Sus scrofa: one gene and its partners. The protein of the gene in region 1 purifies or fractionates together with the protein of each later gene. This does not show direct contact. Links are inferred from orthologs where the notes say so. Each region holds a gene or a part of one and is shown in the gene's direction. Other genes may lie near its edges.

Region 1 (4,205 bases):
AGAAATAAGAAGGTATGCCACACAGCATACTGAGGTAACATTCTAATATTTTTGTGATGACGCTGACCTGCTTACTTCTGGGCTTTATAAATCCTCTCCACTTTTATTAGAGTTGGATTTTTTTTCCCCTTCTCTCTCTCTCACCCTGTTTTCCCAGGGTCACAGTTATAGTACAGTTTGCACAGTGGATTTCGCCCGGTCATCATACTCGGAATATGGCACGCTCTCTAACCATCTCCAAACTCTTCTCCGCGGAGGTAGGCAAAAGCAGCCTGCTTTTCAGAGATTAGGCAATCAGCAGCAGCCGGTCGAGAGAGAGCAACCGATAGGCTTTGTTAGTGGCCCCTAGCGTATACGGATACAGTCATGCTAGTGTTGTAAGACTGCTCAAGGCTGCAAAGGGATGCTCAGCTTTGCCACTGCGGACAGGAACACAGCGGTCTCCTGATCCCCTAAAATTCAACCACCACCTTTGACTCAAACTGCGCCTTCACTTACAAAATGCTCTCACTCATGTTCCTCTGGTTTGACCCTGACGGCGGCAAGATGTGAAATAATCCTTCGTTGCCATAGTGCCTATTTTACAGATCAGGAAAGGATCTTGTCCACAGACCCAATCCTAAGGGCTGCCCTCTCCCGGATGGAGGAAGCAGCTCCCGGCGGAGGGGTAGACACAGGCAGGTGTGACGCCCGCGGCCGCAACCTCTCACCTGGCGGGCGGGGCGGGCCACTGCCTCCACTCAGCGGCCAGGAACGTAGGCCCCGCGGCGGCGGCCTCTCGGGGTCTCGTGGGTCCCTCTCTCGCCGCCTGCACTTGGCCCCAGATCCCAAAATGTCTCAGGCTCTCCCCCCTCAGGCTCACCGTCCGATCTCGCCGGACAGATTCCAGAAGGACCTGGAAACCCCCTGTCCGCCACAGCCGTCTGGGGTCTGGAACCCACGCTCTTTGGCGACGGCGGTGGCTGTCACCAGAAGGCCTAGGGGTTCCCGGGAAAAGAAAACCTGTCGCCCGTCAAGCTGCTGCCATAGCCCGGTCGGCTGGAGCACCGCCCACTTCCGCCTCCCCGCCTACCCTGTGGGCCGTCCAGTGCCGCAACCGCGGGGGGTTGTGGGTATATGGAAGGCGGGGAAAGCTGCGAGGAAAGGAAGTAGTGGCGAGGCAGCCGGATTGCCAGGCAGGGAGAAAACTACAATTCCCAGAAGGCAGCGGGGCCGCAGACGGTAGCGGGGAGGAGAGCGGGCAGAAGTTTTCTGCGCGCGCGGTGGGGATGGAACGTTGATAGAGTTCGCGGGTCTCACTGCTGGGGGCTGGAGCCACACGCAGTGCGCCGCCGCGCGCCAAAGCGGGAATCCGGGAGGCGGGCACCTCTGCAATTAATGCACGCGTTTAAAACTCCCGAACCTGCGGACGCCATGCACAGGTAAACCGTTTGCAGAAAGGGGCAGACCGTGAGTGGACCATCTTAATTCTTTTAGGCCGCGAGTTTTGCTACTTCCTAATATTGTTTGTAATGCTGCAATGTGAATGGTTGCTTAACCTCCTCTTTGGGAAAACGTGGATGGGTGGATGCTTTAGTGCTGTGATCAGCGTGCGATATTATTTGGCTTCCCTTATTGGGCTTTTCTGCTCCTGTTTTCAATCACTGTATAATTGCCCTCTTCTTATCTGTTCCATCCACTTTGAGACATTCTTGAGGCCTTCTGCATGATCGTAAATCAAAAAGCCTTTTCGATTTGTTCGGTGTGTTTGGTTCTTTTTTCTTTCATTCTTGGGAACTCGCCGCCGGCACTTAAAATGCAAGTTCAGTTAGCTGCTGTGAGCGTTTTCGGTAATGCATAAGTTGCAGCTTCCTTTAGGCCTGTTTGGAATTATTCACGGGTGTGTTTTTTAAAGGAACGGGGGCTATTGTGCTTATCTGCAGGAAGCACCTCCAGGAGATTCCCGACCAGAGTAGCAACGTTACCACCAGCTTCACGTGGGGATGGGATTCTAGCAAGACTTCTGAACTGCTTTCAGGCATGGGGGTCTCTGCCTTGGAGAAGGAGGAGGTGGACAGTGAGAACATCCCCCAGGAACTGCTTTCAAACCTGGGCCACCCGCAGAGCCCTCCGCGAAAACGGCTGAAGAGCAAAGGGAATGAAAAGGACTTTGTGATCGTCCGCAGACCTAAGCTAAATCGAGAGAACTTTCCAGGTAAGGTATGAGGGTCAAACTATCGGTGCAGTAAGTGGTAGCTTGAAATATTTTGTTGGTAAACCTTTGTTTAAGGATCATTAGGATGGAGCGCTTTTAAAATTGCCTAATTTTGAAGTTATTTTCCAAAGAGATGAGAAAATTCGTTGCTTTAGAAGTTAACAGAAATGTTGGTAGCTGTATATCTTAAGATGCACAATAGACTTTGAATCCAGGAGAATCCGTTCCTGCCTTTCTCTTTAGGAAGGACTCTGCCTGGTCTAAGGCCAGCTTAGTGCCACTGACAAATGAGAACAAAGAAATGATCCTTTAGGATTCTTTTTGTTTATATTCTGCTGCTCTGGTTGAGGTTTTTGCCAAAATCAACTTTACTTATTTGTCAAGGGATTGCTAAAGTGAATGTTGAACTAGGTGGAAGAAGAGACTTCTCTTCCCGGGTCCATCCCCAAGTGGGCTTATTCTGGTATGCTCTGTCTCCATGACTGCCCGTGTTATCTGTTCAATTGCCCAGCCCCCAAACCTGAAAATCAGTCAGATTCCCACCAACCCCAACATCCATCCAATCATTACATCTTTCCCTTTTGTGTCCTGAATATTTCTCAAGCTGTCAACATCTGAATATTGGAATGGACTCATAATTCCAGCCTTATCCTCCCCAGATCCATCCCCCAGAGCCAGAGTGGACTGACTGAAATGTAAAACGCACCACGTCATTCCCCTCTAATAGCTCTCTGTTACCAGGCTTCTCAGGCAGATGAGTAAGTGCCTCCCAGAGTGGATCCAGAACTCCAGGAGTATGCAAAGCCATAGGGTAAACAGTGCACTGACCTGGGGTTATCAGTTTTTCTTGCTGGTAAACCATGTAAACCATTAATTCAGCAAATATTTGCTGAGCACATTTTATATGCTAGTCATTGTTCTAGGTACTGGGGATATAGCATTGAGCAAAACAAAAACATTTCCACCCTCGTGGAGTTTCTGCTTCGGAGAGAGGATGCAGGAAACATAAATCTGGTGTATGGTATACTAGAATACGTGCTATGGATAAAAGCAAAAATGGAACAAGCCAAAAGGGATTGGAGGTCCTTGGGTGGGAAGCTGGTTTGCAATTTTAAGCAGGGCGTTAAGGGAAAACTTCACTTGGACAGCAAGCTTTAAGCAGAAGCATAAAGGAGACGAAGGAATGTGCCATGCACATACCTTGGGGAAGAGAACCCCAAGCAGAGGGAACAGCTAGTGGAAAGACCCTGGGGCATAGGAATGTCATGTTTTTTCAAGGAACTACGTGGAAGCCATATTCCAAGAGTGGATTAGCAAAGGAGAAGGTAGTGGGAGATGGGCTAGAGGTGCTGTTGAGCGGAGTTGTGACGTGACCTTTTAAAAGGACACACTGATGTGTTGAGATGAAACTGTAGGGTGTTGCAAATAAAAACTCAGAGCCTTGTTGAGAGGTGTGGGAGTGATGATAGGCAGTGGTCAGCTTCTGAATAGATTCGAACATGTGAGTGGACAGAGTTAGGAGGCTTTGAAAGTGTCTGTAGAAGAGGTGATCTTGTTCTAAGCTGAAACTGGAGGTGATAGAAGAAGAGACAGATACAAGAAATAAAGATGAAGACTTGCAGAGTGAGGGTAAATAAGTATATACCTAAATTCCCCATCTGGCTTTCTTTGAGGAAAGGTTGACTGGTTGCTTGCTTGCTTACTTTAAAAAAATAATATATATATATATATAGTTTTTTTAAATTTTTTATTATTACTTAATGAATTTTATTACATTTATAGGTGTACAACAGTCATCACAACCAAATTTTACAGCATTTCCATCCCAAACTTTTTTTTTTTTTTTTTTTTTTTTTGCTTTTAACTCTTTCTTTAGGAAAGAGAACCTTCAGGTTACCGTCTGGGGATCTCTATTAGGTGTTGGATTCATTAGAAAGGCAGTAAAGGATTGTGGTGGAGTCAGACAAATCTGGCTTTGCATCCTCATTCTGCTGTTTACCAAGCCTGGGAA
Region 2 (4,200 bases), on another chromosome or scaffold:
TAGGAGCTGTAGCTGCAGGCCTATACCACAGCCACATCAGATTCAAGCCCCGTCTTCCATCTACACCAGCAGCTCATGGCAACGCTGGATCCTTAACCCAAAGAGCGGAGGCCAGGGATCAAACCGCAATTTCCTGGTTCCTAGTCGGATTCCTTTCCGCTGCACCACGAGGGGAACTTTGATAACTGATCAGCTAATCATTTCTTAAAATGCTCATTTAAATGGTTTTGGTGGTCTGCTTAGGGATGAGCATTTAAAAAAATAAAAGCAGACAAAAGCAGCAACGTTTTATATGCAATGTGTATATGTGTGTGCACACAGATACACACACATGTGCACACAAATATTTTCCAAAAAATCACAACGTTAAAGACTCTTTTACCTGCCTTGCCAGTTAACTTCTGCGGGTGGACCCCCATCCAAGGATTTTCCTCCCCACGTGGCGAGGCCACCTGCCCCGAACCCAGTTCCGAGCCTCATTACGTTCTCCCTCAACGTCCCAAGCCCCATCGCTGCCACCCGCGTTCCTTCCTCTTCCTGGGCCACTATCTCGGCGTTCCTGGACCCGCCTCAGGCCGTGACTGCCGGAACCCGCCAGGGAAGACCTCTCGTGGGGACTGTCCGCACCACGTGCGACCCTAAAACCCCAGATCTCCTCTCCCACCCTGCCGGGCCAAATGCACCAGAACCCGGGCCGACCAGGAGCAACCTCTGGTGCGCAAGGACTCAAAATGAGCGAGGACACGCCGCCACCACGGATTAGGAAGCCCCAGCCCAAACCAGGGGCCAACCCGCAGCTATGTGGCCTCTCTCTGGGAGAAGGTGTAGGTGTGTGGGCCAGCGAAGGGGATCTAGCCGCGCTCTGGGGCGGGCGCGGTCAAGGCGCCACGGCCTGCGCAGCCCCGAGGGCCCCGCGTCGCTCTCCCGAGCCAAGGTTCTCAGGAGCGGGCCGAGGAAAAGACGTTGGCGGGAGGAGTTAGTGGCTGTTGGGAGAACGGGTTCAAGGAAACAGTCCCTTCCAAACCCTGGCCATCGCGGGGTGGGCCTTCTTCCTCCCTGCCAGACCCGGGAGGCCAGCCAGAAAGGGCGCGGGTGCCCGCGGCGACCCGCTCGCCCGGGCACGCCCGGGCAGGGCAGCGCAGGAAGAGCCCGGGGCGGCTGCCGGTTGGTCCCTCCCAGCCCTGAACGCCCAGGGGTCGCGGTGCGTCCGCCCCGAGCGTGTCAGGTGAGGAGGTCGCCATAGCGATGCGACCCGGATCGCGCACGCCGGCCGCGGTTGGCATGGAAACGGCCCCCCCGTGAGGCCCGAGAGCGCCGCTGATTGGCCGATTCAACAGACGCGGGGGGCGGGGGAGTTGAAAATAATTAGAGCTGAGGAGCTGGCAGCCCAGGCTGAGATCCCGGCGCCAAGGCTGGAATCTATTAACACCTCGGTCCCCTTCCGCCTCGCCCCGCCCCGCCCCCGCCCCCTTAGGCTGCCCCTCATTCCCAATCCTGGTGTGCACTTGCCAATTGTTCGAGACATATATAAAGACATAAAGCTGAGACGAGCGAGGCCCGCTGTGGGCTTCAAGCAGGTTTTGGGGTCTTATGTCTTGCGGGAGGAGGGCCGCGGAAGAGCACGCTTCTTGTCACTTGGGAAGGGGATATATTTTCCCACAGTGATGTATCCTGGGTCGACTGCAGGCAGAGGGATGGTGGGGTGATGGATAAGTCTCATAGCCGGAAAAGACATAGACCTGTAGGTTTGGACTCCCAATTAACCTGGGGCTTAGTGTCCGGCCGTGGAGGTCTGCCTTCCTCCTTCCAGCCGTCAGCCTGGTTTGGGAAGAAAGCCTGGAGAGATTCAAATCCCTGTTTTGGTTCAAAGTAGCTTTGATCGCTTGCACCGTGGCTCAGGCCTTTTCAACCCTAATAACTGCAGTGAAGATCATATGTTTCAGTGCTCTCTCTTCTGGGGATTTGCTGCATTCTGGAGCCCGTGCTGGAAGAGGTTGACTAACCAGCATGTCTGTTTCTCCTTCCCTGATAGCAGTAGCCTGTGGAGACTGAGGCTATGCATCTCAGTAGCTCCAAGAGCGGGAGAGTGCTGGCTCCAGTGTCCGGAGGTCCTGATGCCTGTCAGATGATGTCCAGAGCCCAGCTCAGCCAGGATCCACCACAAAGAACAGTACTAGGGGTGCTAACCGAGAATGGGCAATACAGGAGGACCTGTGGCCAGGTAACGACTGAGAAGAGCTGGGACGGTTACCTGTTGAGAAGGGCTCTCATGTCATGGTGAGAGGTGGGTTTCTCTGGCAGTTTTACCTACAGACGTCCCCTGAGTATTTCAACCCTGGAATCTGGACTAGAGGGACCTTGATTTATTAAAGATTTCTTTCTTGGGTCCTTTTTCTAGCTAGAAATATTGAATACTTTTCTGTTATTTTTCCGATATCAAGGAAAGAAACCTAGGAACTGTTTAGAGTAAGTATGCGTAAAGTCATTTAAGTTCTGGGCTAAAAGGAAATGAGAATGCTCCAAAATAAACTGTGGAACTGGGGTTCCCACAGATTGGAGCGGTATCCACACTGATCTCGGCTGTGCCTGAGGCATCCTGGGTAACTTTTAAGTTCATTGGTGATGGTGTAGAATCAGGATTGGATCAGCCTATCCTAGATTACTTCAAAATGCGTGCTTTGAAAGTAGACTTCTCTCCAGGACTGACTAAGGACAGTTGGGCAAACAGCTCATGGGCCATCTGACATTAGTTGCTTGCACTTAACGGATCAGAGATACTTCCTTTAACTGATTGTAAACAAATTCAGAGACTTATAATGTAAAAGAGGAGTTTGGATCCTTAAGAATGAATTTTGAGATTAAACAAAAAAAATCTAAGTCTGTTATTAGACAAAGCTTCTCATAACCATGCCTTAAGTCTGTAGTGTACATATGTAGTGGAATGACATTGGCAACCATACAGTGACATAGGTGGGCAGGTGTTCTTTCCATTTTATATGTGAGCAAATTTGAGAGGTTTAAAAAAGACCAAAAAAGAAAAGAAATTCATGATGGAGACCAGATCAGAAGCCTCTCCTCATCTACAGACTATTCAAGTCATCTGTTTTGGTGACATCTGATTAGTGAGAGAAAAATACCCAAAGTAATGTTTCAAGCGTTGGAAAAAACAGAGTAAAGGTGGTTTTAACAAACTTAATGTGCTTAGTGGTGTTTACTTCTTTAAACTTGAAGTTGAAAACCTCTTACGAATTGGCAGTTACACCTACGCTGACTGAGCTCACTTTAAATTCACAACTGTCAATTAAGCTCTGTGTTGCCTGGCGATACCTCTACATTTCCCGACTCTATTCCTCTGCACCCTTCTTATAGAAACCTCCTATTTTATACATTCCCTTCTCTTTTTATCCTTGAAAGCCTCCATCTCCATCCTTACTCTCAGTTAATAACTATATCCTATTTTCCTAAAAATATAGATGTAACCGGAAGAGAATTTCCACATGGTCCCGTGTACCTACCATATACTCTGCCACCCCCTTCCCGCTACGTAACCCATGTGTCCCTGCTCTTATGCAAGGGGAACGCCCCGTGTGTGCAGCACACCTTATGCCCTTTTGCCTTTTTAAGGATATCATTCCATCACCTTGTCTTTCTCTTTTCCACTGGATCAAACCCAGAAGCATGAAAATATACTGTGATTTTTTTTTTTTTTCATTCCTAAAAACCTTGCAACTACAAAGCTCTTTGCAGCAACTGTCCCATTTATGGCAGTATTTCTTGAGGGTTTGTCTATGTAAATTCCATCAGGATGAGGGTTTGGGACATTGGGTTTACTGCTGTACTTCCAGTGTTTAGAACAGTGCCTGGCCAGGGTAGCATGCGAGGATTTATTGAACAAATACTGTGTCTCAGATTCTTCTCTTGTTCTCTTTGACTCAATTCTTAATCAGTTCTCAAGCCTTTCCTTACTTGACCAGTTGGCAGCATTTGACATTGTTGATCATTCTTCACTCCTTGAAATAGTTTCTTCTCACGCAGTCTGGAGAACAGGGCCTGGTTTCCAACCTAGCTCACTGGCTGTACCTCCTCGGTGGTCCTTCCTCATCCGCTCGCTAAAAGTTAGAGTGTGCCAGGGCTTCGTATTTGAGCTGAATCTCCACTCACTCCCATAGCAATCTCTTCCAGTCTCCTGGCATTAAATAC
Region 3 (3,994 bases), about 30 Mb from region 1:
CTGCCGCCTGAGGTGGGGGGTGGGGGTTGTCACTCGGTAGCCCAGGACGAGGGTAACCGCATGCGGGTCTCCCCAAATGCGCGTCCAGGTCCTGGTAATCCTCTTAGAGCACCCAGGATGGGGATTTCGAGTTAAGCCCATATTAGTGGCGAGAACCAGGGCGTGGGGGCTGGGCCCGGCTCCTGTTCCTGACTCCTGTTCCCAGCTGGAGGCTCCCAGCCCAGGGCAGAGTTAGGTGCTCAATCAGTGCACATTTGGGGAATAAAGAGATGGAGTGGCTACAACTGTCTTTAAGTAAACGTGACCCAAAACATGTCTGGCGGCCTCGGGAGGGCGCTGTCGAGCCGCGCTGGGGGGGGGGTCCGCCTCCCTTAACACGGAACCCCGCAGTCCTCGACCTGACTTTACGACCCCCCCGACCAGGATTTCAGCCCTCTGAAATCTTCTAACCTTTCTTAGTTCACAATGGTCTGGGCAAGCACATGACTGAGAAAGACCTTTTTCCTCTTGGGTTTGACTGGAAGGCATTTTACTTGTTAAATGTACATTTTATTTTTAAGTAACAGGAGAGTAGTCTGGGGAGTAGGAAAATATTTCCCTGAACACCTCCACCCCAACTCACCCCGGTTGTTCTTGGCTGGACAAACTCGTTAATTTTCCTCCAACCTTCATTTCAGGCTCCTCTCTGTCCCTCGACCCCCAGCAGCGTGATGCTGGGCAAGTAAATAGCCTCTCCTTGAGAACCTGTTTCCTCGCCTGTTGGGGATGAGGAAATGAGAGAAAGGGGCCCACATCTCTGCAAAAACGCAGGAAACCCCTTTCCGTTCTGCTCTGCGGCGGAGGGGGCGCGGGGAAGGGGCACAGGGCGGGGGGAAGGGAGGCGGAGGCCGGTGGCATGCGGCCTGATCTCCCAGCCGCTCTCAACACCGAGGTCAGCCTTCAGCTGCTCGCGCGCCCTTCCTCTCTCCTCCCTGCCGGTCCCGGAGAGTAGCTCGGGCCAGCTCCCCGGGGACGCGCCAGGCGCAGGCCGGACGGCCCGGCGGGGGATGGGACCCGAGCCAGAGCGCAGCCAGCGGACCCCACTCAGAGGCCGATGACGTCTTCCCCTTTGGCTCGGCCGGCGCCAAGCCCGGCAGGGCGGGTGACGTCACCACACCGGTCACGTGACCGTCATTCAAACAAACAACCCCCTCCCCTTGCGCGCGCGCGCGCGCGCGCGCCTCCGCGCGCCCCTCCCCGCCCCGCCCGCCGAGAGGCCACATATAAGCGCGCTTCCCGCGGGTCTGACTCGCCGTGAAGGACGTTGGGGTTGTAGGTTCTACGCGGGTTGGAGGGGCAGGCAGGGGAGCAGTAAGGAACCCGAGGCGGTCGAGAGACCCGCACGAAGACCCTTCGCTCAGCCCAGAGGCAGTTTGGAGTTTGGCTTAAAGAAAACGAGGGTCAGGCTTTTCCTCGAAAGCCGTCGCCCTCCCCTTGGCTTCCGAGGACAAAGAGCACAAGAAGACTTCACGCTGGGGGCGCTGGGGCCGGCCATGGTCATGGAAGTGGGATCCCTGGACGCCGGAGGCCTGAGGACGCTGCTGCGGGAGCGCGCGGCGCAGTGTCTGCTGTTGGACTGTCGCTCCTTCTTCGCTTTCAACGCCGGCCACATCGCCGGCTCCGTCAACGTGCGCTTCAGTACCATCGTGCGGCGCCGGGCCAAGGGCGCCATGGGCCTGGAGCACATCGTGCCCAACGCGGAGCTGCGCGGCCGCCTGCTGGCCGGCGCCTACCACGCCGTGGTGCTGCTGGACGAGCGCAGCGCTGCCTTGGAGTGCGCCAAACGCGACGGCACCCTGGCTCTGGCCGCCGGAGCGCTCTGCCGCGAGGCGCGCGGCGCGCAAATCTTCTTGCTCAAAGGTACGCCCTCGGGGACGCTCAGGGGCGGGCCGCACGCCCCCTGTCGCCTAGCCCGGGGACCCCCGGCTCTCAGCATCTAGGGGACTGCCCCACCTGGAGCGCCTGGGCGCTCGATCCGCATTCTGGGGACTTGTTGGCTTTGTTTGGTCTGTGAACAAAGACTCGCCTGGGCCTCTCCGGGGTAAACTTCCAGTCCCGTTGGATAGCGGAGTTGTTTGAAGGGTGCCCTGTGTCGGCGGTACTAATGGGAAAAAAAATGTCTCTTTGTATTCCCAGGAGGATATGAAGCTTTTTCTGTTTCCTGCCCGGAGCTCTGCAGCAAACAGTCGACCCCCATGGGGCTCAGCCTTCCCCTGAGTACTAGCGTCCCTGACAGCACCGAATCAGGGTGCAGTTCTTGCAGCACTCCACTCTACGATCAGGTTAGTAGGGGGCCTTACCAGAGGGGAGAAGGAACAGCTGGTAAATGTAGGAGAATATAGAAAGTGACATGCAGCTTTATTTATAACGGGGGACACGGGGATATTTATCCCGTGGTTAAGTGGTATGATGGAGCTGAGTCTCTAATTGTTGGCACTACAGAAGTGAACTTTGTTGGCCCTGCCCAAGCAACTGGGCTTAGTCCCCTATTTTCTATACCAGCAAGATGCTGCGAAGGTCACCCAGTATTGAAACTGACTTGTTCAGGGAGTTTTTGTGGGTGTGGGCATGAGCATTGCCATTGAACAAGGCTTGACAAGTGTTGGATGTTTCTGGATTTCAGGGTGGCCCAGTGGAGATCCTACCCTTTCTCTACCTGGGGAGTGCCTACCATGCTTCTCGCAAGGACATGCTGGATGCCTTGGGTATCACTGCCTTGATCAACGTCTCGGCCAACTGTCCCAACCATTTTGAGGGTCACTACCAGTACAAGAGCATCCCCGTTGAGGACAACCACAAGGCGGACATCAGCTCCTGGTTCAATGAGGCAATCGATTTCATCGGTAAATAAGTGGAACAAGATGCCTGGGACCTGTGCCTCCCTGTTTTAGTTTGAGCCACCGAGCCTAAACTCTACAGCAAGAACTTGAGGGACATTCTTTTAAGCTGTAGACATTACTCTCAGTCAGGTGTGGGTGGCATCCCTATGAAGCATAGATTTGATGTCCCACTTTACAGGTTAGCAAACCGAATCTCAGAATGTTGACTTAATTTGTCCCACATGGGTCTGCTCACATGCCCTGGTCTGGGTTTACATGCCCTGTTCCTCTTGCGCAGTGCCCCCATCCGCCTCCAGGAACAGGGCCCATGTGATGGCATGAGGTGATAGTGACCACCTCTGGACAGGACACACACAGCATCTCTTAGACACCCTCTCCCTGGGGTTGGGGTTGTTCTCCTGGGCTCTCAAGTAACCCGCTGCCCTTTGTTTTCCAGATTCCATCAAGAATGCCGGCGGAAGGGTGTTTGTCCACTGCCAGGCGGGCATTTCCCGATCGGCCACCATCTGCCTCGCTTACCTCATGAGGACTAACCGAGTCAAGCTGGACGAGGCCTTTGAGTTTGTGAAGCAGAGGAGGAGCATCATCTCCCCCAACTTCAGCTTCATGGGCCAGCTGCTGCAGTTTGAGTCCCAGGTCCTGGCCCCGCACTGCTCGGCGGAGGCTGGGAGCCCGGCCATGGCCGTGCTGGACCGAGGCGCCTCCACCACCACCGTCTTCAACTTCCCCGTCTCCATCCCCGTCACCCCACGAACAGTGCGTTGAGCTACCTTCAGAGCCCCATCACGACCTCTCCCAGCTGCTGAAAGGCCACGGGAGGTGATCTTCACAACCCACCGGGACTCCAGGCTCCTTCTTGCAAGGAGACATGCAATAACTCCAAGGAAGGGGGCTCGCGAGGGCTGGTCCTTCCTTATTTAATTTCATCCGAATTCCACTGGGTTCCTGGGCGGTCCTGGGGATGACTTGGCGCCAAGACCGTCTGCTGAACTCAGCACATTGGGGACCAACATGCCGTGCGTGGGTGCATCAAGTCTCTGACAAAAGGGGCAGAAGAGAGAGGACTCGGTGTGCGAGCCGATTTTTTTCTGCTGGGCCCTGTTTCCTGAAGAAAC
Region 4 (4,119 bases), on another chromosome or scaffold:
CTGTGGGTCTGAGGGTGCGTGGGAAGTAGGACTATCTGCAGCCCGCGCCGAGCCCCCTTCTCTCGCTTCCACTCTTTCAGGTCAAGAATGGAGGGAACCCGGCTGGCGGGTGCTGGGCCGGACAACGGGCCCCCGGCTACACTCGACCTCAGAGGCTCAGCCCTCGGGCGCAGACAGGTGGGTTCCGGTCGCGGAGGCGGCGGCCAGGGCGTCCTCCGCGCGGACACGACAGTCAGAGCCCGGGCCCCTGGAGGCGTGCGCGGCTCGCGCGGGGCCCGAGGACTCGATACATCGCAGGAAAAGGAAAAAAACACAAAACAAAAACAAAACCCACCGACTTCCCCGCGTTTCTCAGCAAAGGAGTCGAGGGCGGAGTCGAGAGGGGGCGACTGAGCAGAATTCCGCGAGGCCGCCTCCGCCCGCCCACTCAGCGCCCCCGAAGCGCCCAGCGTCTCCGGCCCCCGCCCCGCCCGGCTTTGGGCCCGGAGCGGAGGTCGAGGGCAAGCGAGCGACTCGTTCCACTCGGGCTTCCCGAGTACTCGGTTCTGCTCCCCGGTAGTAAACAAAGTGTCGCCGCCGCCTCCACGCTGGTTTGCCTCACAGCAATCAAAACACTGAGAGCGGAGAGACTCACAGAAACATTCGAAAATTACCAGAAAATAATAACAGAGAGCCAAAAAAAAAAAAAAAAGAGTGAGGGAGACTGTGCGTGTGTGAGAAAGAAAAAAACACCCCACTACCCCCACCAACCCACTGCCACCTCCCGCTGGAAAACCAGCCCCCGCCCAGGCCGGCGTCCACTGGCTGCCTGGGCGGTGCCGCCGCGAGCTCATTGGCTGCTGGGGCTATCAGTCAGGGGCGGGCAAGCGCGCGCGCCGCCGCGGGCGGGGGGCGGCGGCAGATCCCGTAAGTCGGGCGGCAGCGTAGTCGCAGCAGCAGCCGCCGCTGCCGCCGCCGCCGCCGCCACATTCAACAGGCAGCAGCGCCGCGGTCGCGCCGCCGGGGAGAGTGAGCGGCCCGCGGCGCCCGTCCTTCCTTCGGTTTTCGGGCCGTGTCAGTAGGAGCGCGACGCTGGCGCTGCCTGGGCTGGGCGACTCTGGCCTGCCGTCCCGTCCGTGCAGCGGACCTGGAGGAGCCTAGATGTTGATGGACCCGCGAAGTTAAGTTCTGGGCTCGCGCTTCCACTTCGCCGCCGCGTCTTGCTCCGGGTTTCCGTCCGCCCGCGGCACCGACCTCGCCCCCCAAAATCTCGGACCGGCTCTTCGCGCCCTCTCCCCTCAGCTCCTGGTGCAGCGCCCTCGCACTTCTTGGCAATCCCGCTGCTGGGGGAGGGGCGGGGGTCACCATGGCCGAAGCGCCCCAGGTGGTGGAGATCGACCCGGACTTCGAGCCGCTGCCCCGGCCGCGCTCGTGCACCTGGCCGCTGCCCAGGCCGGAGTTTAGCCAGTCTAACTCGGCCACCTCCAGCCCGGCGCCGTCGGGTGGCCCAGCCGCGAACCCCGACGCTGCCGCGGGCCTGCCCTCGGCCTCGGCGGCCGCTGTCAACGCCGACTTCATGAGCAACCTGAGCCTGCTGGAGGAGAGCGGGGACTTCCAGCAGGCGCCCGGCTCCGTGGCGGCGGCGGCGGCGGCGGCAGCCGCGGTGGCGGCGGCGGCCGCCGCTGCTGCCACCGGGGGGTTGTGCGGGGACTTCCAGGGCCCAGAGGCGGGCTGCCTGCACCCGGCGCCGCCGCAGCAGCCCCCGCCGCCCGGGCCGCTGTCGCAGCACCCGCCTGTGCCCCCCGCCGCCGCCGGGTCGCTTGCCGGGCAGCCGCGCAAGAGCAGCTCGTCCCGCCGCAACGCGTGGGGCAACCTGTCCTACGCCGACCTCATCACCAAGGCCATCGAGAGCTCGGCAGAGAAGCGGCTCACGCTATCGCAGATCTACGAGTGGATGGTCAAGAGCGTGCCCTACTTCAAGGATAAGGGCGACAGCAACAGCTCGGCAGGCTGGAAGGTGAGTGGCCTCGGGGCGCACGGCTGGAGCGGGAGGGGGGCACGGGAAGCCCTGCCTCCGCCTTAGGTCGGAGGGGACGGCTGTGCAAATTTGCTTGGCTTGAAAGTGCAGGGCACGCGGGCAGCGCGTGCAAGAAGCATCGGAGGTGGGTGGTGGGCTTGCCTCGGACCCGTCGGAGGATTGGAATAAACGTCTGTGTGTACGCTCTCGTGAGAGTTGGAGCGGGAGCGGGAAGGGGCGAGTTGGGACCGAAGTAGTGAAAAAAGTACGCCAAGAAGTGGACCTCAGAGCAACCAGAAAAAAAGTTCTCCAGTGAACGGAGAGCGGGGTTCACTGCGACCTGCCCCCCCTTCTCCACGGCCCGCGCGAACTCCTGCCGCTGCTCCTTTCCCTCCACGACCTCAGGGGTGAGGGCGGCTCCCCTCCTCCCCCGCGGCCCCCCAGCTCCCCGCCGCCCCGCGGAGCCGTTTCCGCAGCGCTGGGCGGGGGAGGCCGCTGCGAGGGGCCTCGGAGCCCCGCCGCTGGGGGACGGGGCTGCAGGTGGAGGGGACAGGCAGGGCGCGAGGCAGCCGGCCCGTGGAGGTTGGCCGCGCGGTTTTTGGAGGCCGTATGCATTTTGTTTTATTTTGATTTTATTCTAAGTGGCCTCGAGTGCAGGGGTCCGGGCGCGCAGAGCCAGAGGTAGCGTCTCCGACACGTGCAAAGGGGCGGCCACCGCCTGCGGAGCGCCGGCGCCCGGCGGCGCGGGGCGAGCTAAAGTTCAAGTGTGACCCTCGGCGGGGGCGGGAGCAGGCGACGGCGAGGGAGGGGCCGCGAGCGCAGGAAGCGAGCGCCTTTAAAGGGCCAGCGCGTCCTGGCCCTGGGCACCTCCTCGCCCGGCCGCCGGGCAGCAAGGCCGGCACGTCTCTGCCCAAGGAAGTGCCCCCAAACTTGGCCTCGCCGAAGGTTCGAGGCCTTTAATTAAGCACGGAGAGGATTTCCTGGATGGCCAGGGCTGGGGACGTGGGTATTCTTGCTTTGCCCCCTCAGGGTTACAGCGTTTGGAGGTACAGGTCCGAGGGGCAGGTGACTGGTGTTCGGGGAGTTGGAATGAAGGTTCGAGTCAAGGGAACCTGCAAGGACCTCCTGTCTCGACGGAGGCCTGTACACGCGGTGCCTCTGGCCGTTTTTGCCTTTCTGAGAGACCGAGAGACAGCGGGAGAGACACTCAGGTGGGGGCACATCCCTACCCTGAGGTGGAGAAGGCCTTGGGGCTCCCAGGAGGACGGGCTGGGGGAGGCATACCGGCCAGCGGTTCGCCCCGCGACTTCCAGAAGCTGACACTTTCTGTTACAGGTGGAAGGATCGATGTTAAGGTTCTCTGGTTGAGTCAGACTCCTCTTCACTCCTCCTCGGGACTGTACAGCATAATAAAGATTTTTCTTTGCTGCGCATTTGTTGCACAAAGGTTGTTTTACGTACACTGTCATTCCTGTGGTTAATGTGTGTCAAAAAGGTTAAGTTAATCACATCGTGTTGAAGCTCCTGGAGAAGGAACAAGGATCTTATTTTTTCCAAAATGTATTTTAGAGTAAAGGCTTCACTTAGGATCTGATTACCAGGCATTACATGCAATTTACCTAGGTTTCAAAAAAGTAAAGTGCCTCCTTATTTTACCCTTGGTATATATTCTTTAAAGTCAGAAAATGGGGGTTGTCTGCCAAATCCAATTTTATAACATTTGAATTTAAGTACTTGACTTACTTGTTCATTTATCAATCCTACTTGAGCTGTTGTAAAACCATTTGCCATTAAATTTTTTGTTTTCGGAATTAAAAGTACAGTGTGTACTTAACACCGTTTTTTCATGTCCTTGGAAATGGATACAGCCTACTTAAGCTTGCTGGAGTGTTTTTCTTTTAAGATAGGGAAAGGCAAAGTTTGGGGATTAGTTTTAGTTTTGCCTCTCAAATGGTCTTAAGTCAGATCATTCCTGTATTCTTAAACTAGGAATATAACTTAAGCATTTAAGGTTTATGCTTTTGTTTTTTTTTAATAGTTTCTAAGACTAAAATCACTCCCTGACCCCAGCCATTTTTATTAGGTTTCTACTTGTTCTCATTTTTTTCCCAGGTAGTTAAAGG

Evidence for each region. Proteins that work in one complex are often made in the same cells at the same time.
Region 2: the proteins of SKP2 (region 1) and CCNA1 purify together in Homo sapiens (affinity purification with western blotting; 4 studies listed by BioGRID). This does not show direct contact. The link is inferred for Sus scrofa from reciprocal best matches to the Homo sapiens genes SKP2 and CCNA1.
Region 3: the proteins of SKP2 (region 1) and DUSP1 purify together in Homo sapiens (affinity purification with western blotting; 3 studies listed by BioGRID and IntAct, with this or other methods). This does not show direct contact. The link is inferred for Sus scrofa from reciprocal best matches to the Homo sapiens genes SKP2 and DUSP1.
Region 4: the proteins of SKP2 (region 1) and FOXO1 purify together in Homo sapiens (affinity purification with western blotting; 4 studies listed by BioGRID). This does not show direct contact. The link is inferred for Sus scrofa from reciprocal best matches to the Homo sapiens genes SKP2 and FOXO1.

What each region holds. Positions count from the first base shown.
Region 1 is NC_010458.4:21,461,865-21,466,069, forward strand, and holds the start of SKP2 (S-phase kinase-associated protein 2), read left to right. Parts: upstream 1-1,405; 5' UTR 1,406-1,413; coding exon 1,414-1,421; intron 1,422-1,922; coding exon 1,923-2,194; intron 2,195-4,205. UniProt on the Homo sapiens protein: Substrate recognition component of a SCF (SKP1-CUL1-F-box protein) E3 ubiquitin-protein ligase complex which mediates the ubiquitination and subsequent proteasomal degradation of target proteins involved in cell cycle progression, signal transduction and transcription.
Region 2 is NC_010453.5:12,394,749-12,398,948, forward strand, and holds the start of CCNA1 (cyclin-A1), read left to right. Parts: upstream 1-1,400; 5' UTR 1,401-1,577; exon of another isoform or gene 1,578-1,741; intron 1,742-2,032; 5' UTR 2,033-2,056; coding exon 2,057-2,221; intron 2,222-4,200. UniProt on the Homo sapiens protein: May be involved in the control of the cell cycle at the G1/S (start) and G2/M (mitosis) transitions. May primarily function in the control of the germline meiotic cell cycle and additionally in the control of mitotic cell cycle in some somatic cells.
Region 3 is NC_010458.4:51,456,730-51,460,723, forward strand, and holds the start of DUSP1 (dual specificity protein phosphatase 1), read left to right. Parts: upstream 1-1,194; 5' UTR 1,195-1,532; coding exon 1,533-1,899; intron 1,900-2,175; coding exon 2,176-2,321; intron 2,322-2,662; coding exon 2,663-2,882; intron 2,883-3,315; coding exon 3,316-3,644; coding exon of another isoform or gene 3,645-3,685; 3' UTR 3,686-3,994. UniProt on the Homo sapiens protein: Dual specificity phosphatase that dephosphorylates MAP kinase MAPK1/ERK2 on both 'Thr-183' and 'Tyr-185', regulating its activity during the meiotic cell cycle.
Region 4 is NC_010453.5:15,407,260-15,411,378, reverse strand, and holds the start of FOXO1 (forkhead box protein O1), read left to right. Parts: upstream 1-1,319; 5' UTR 1,320-1,345; coding exon 1,346-1,996; intron 1,997-4,119. UniProt on the Homo sapiens protein: Transcription factor that is the main target of insulin signaling and regulates metabolic homeostasis in response to oxidative stress.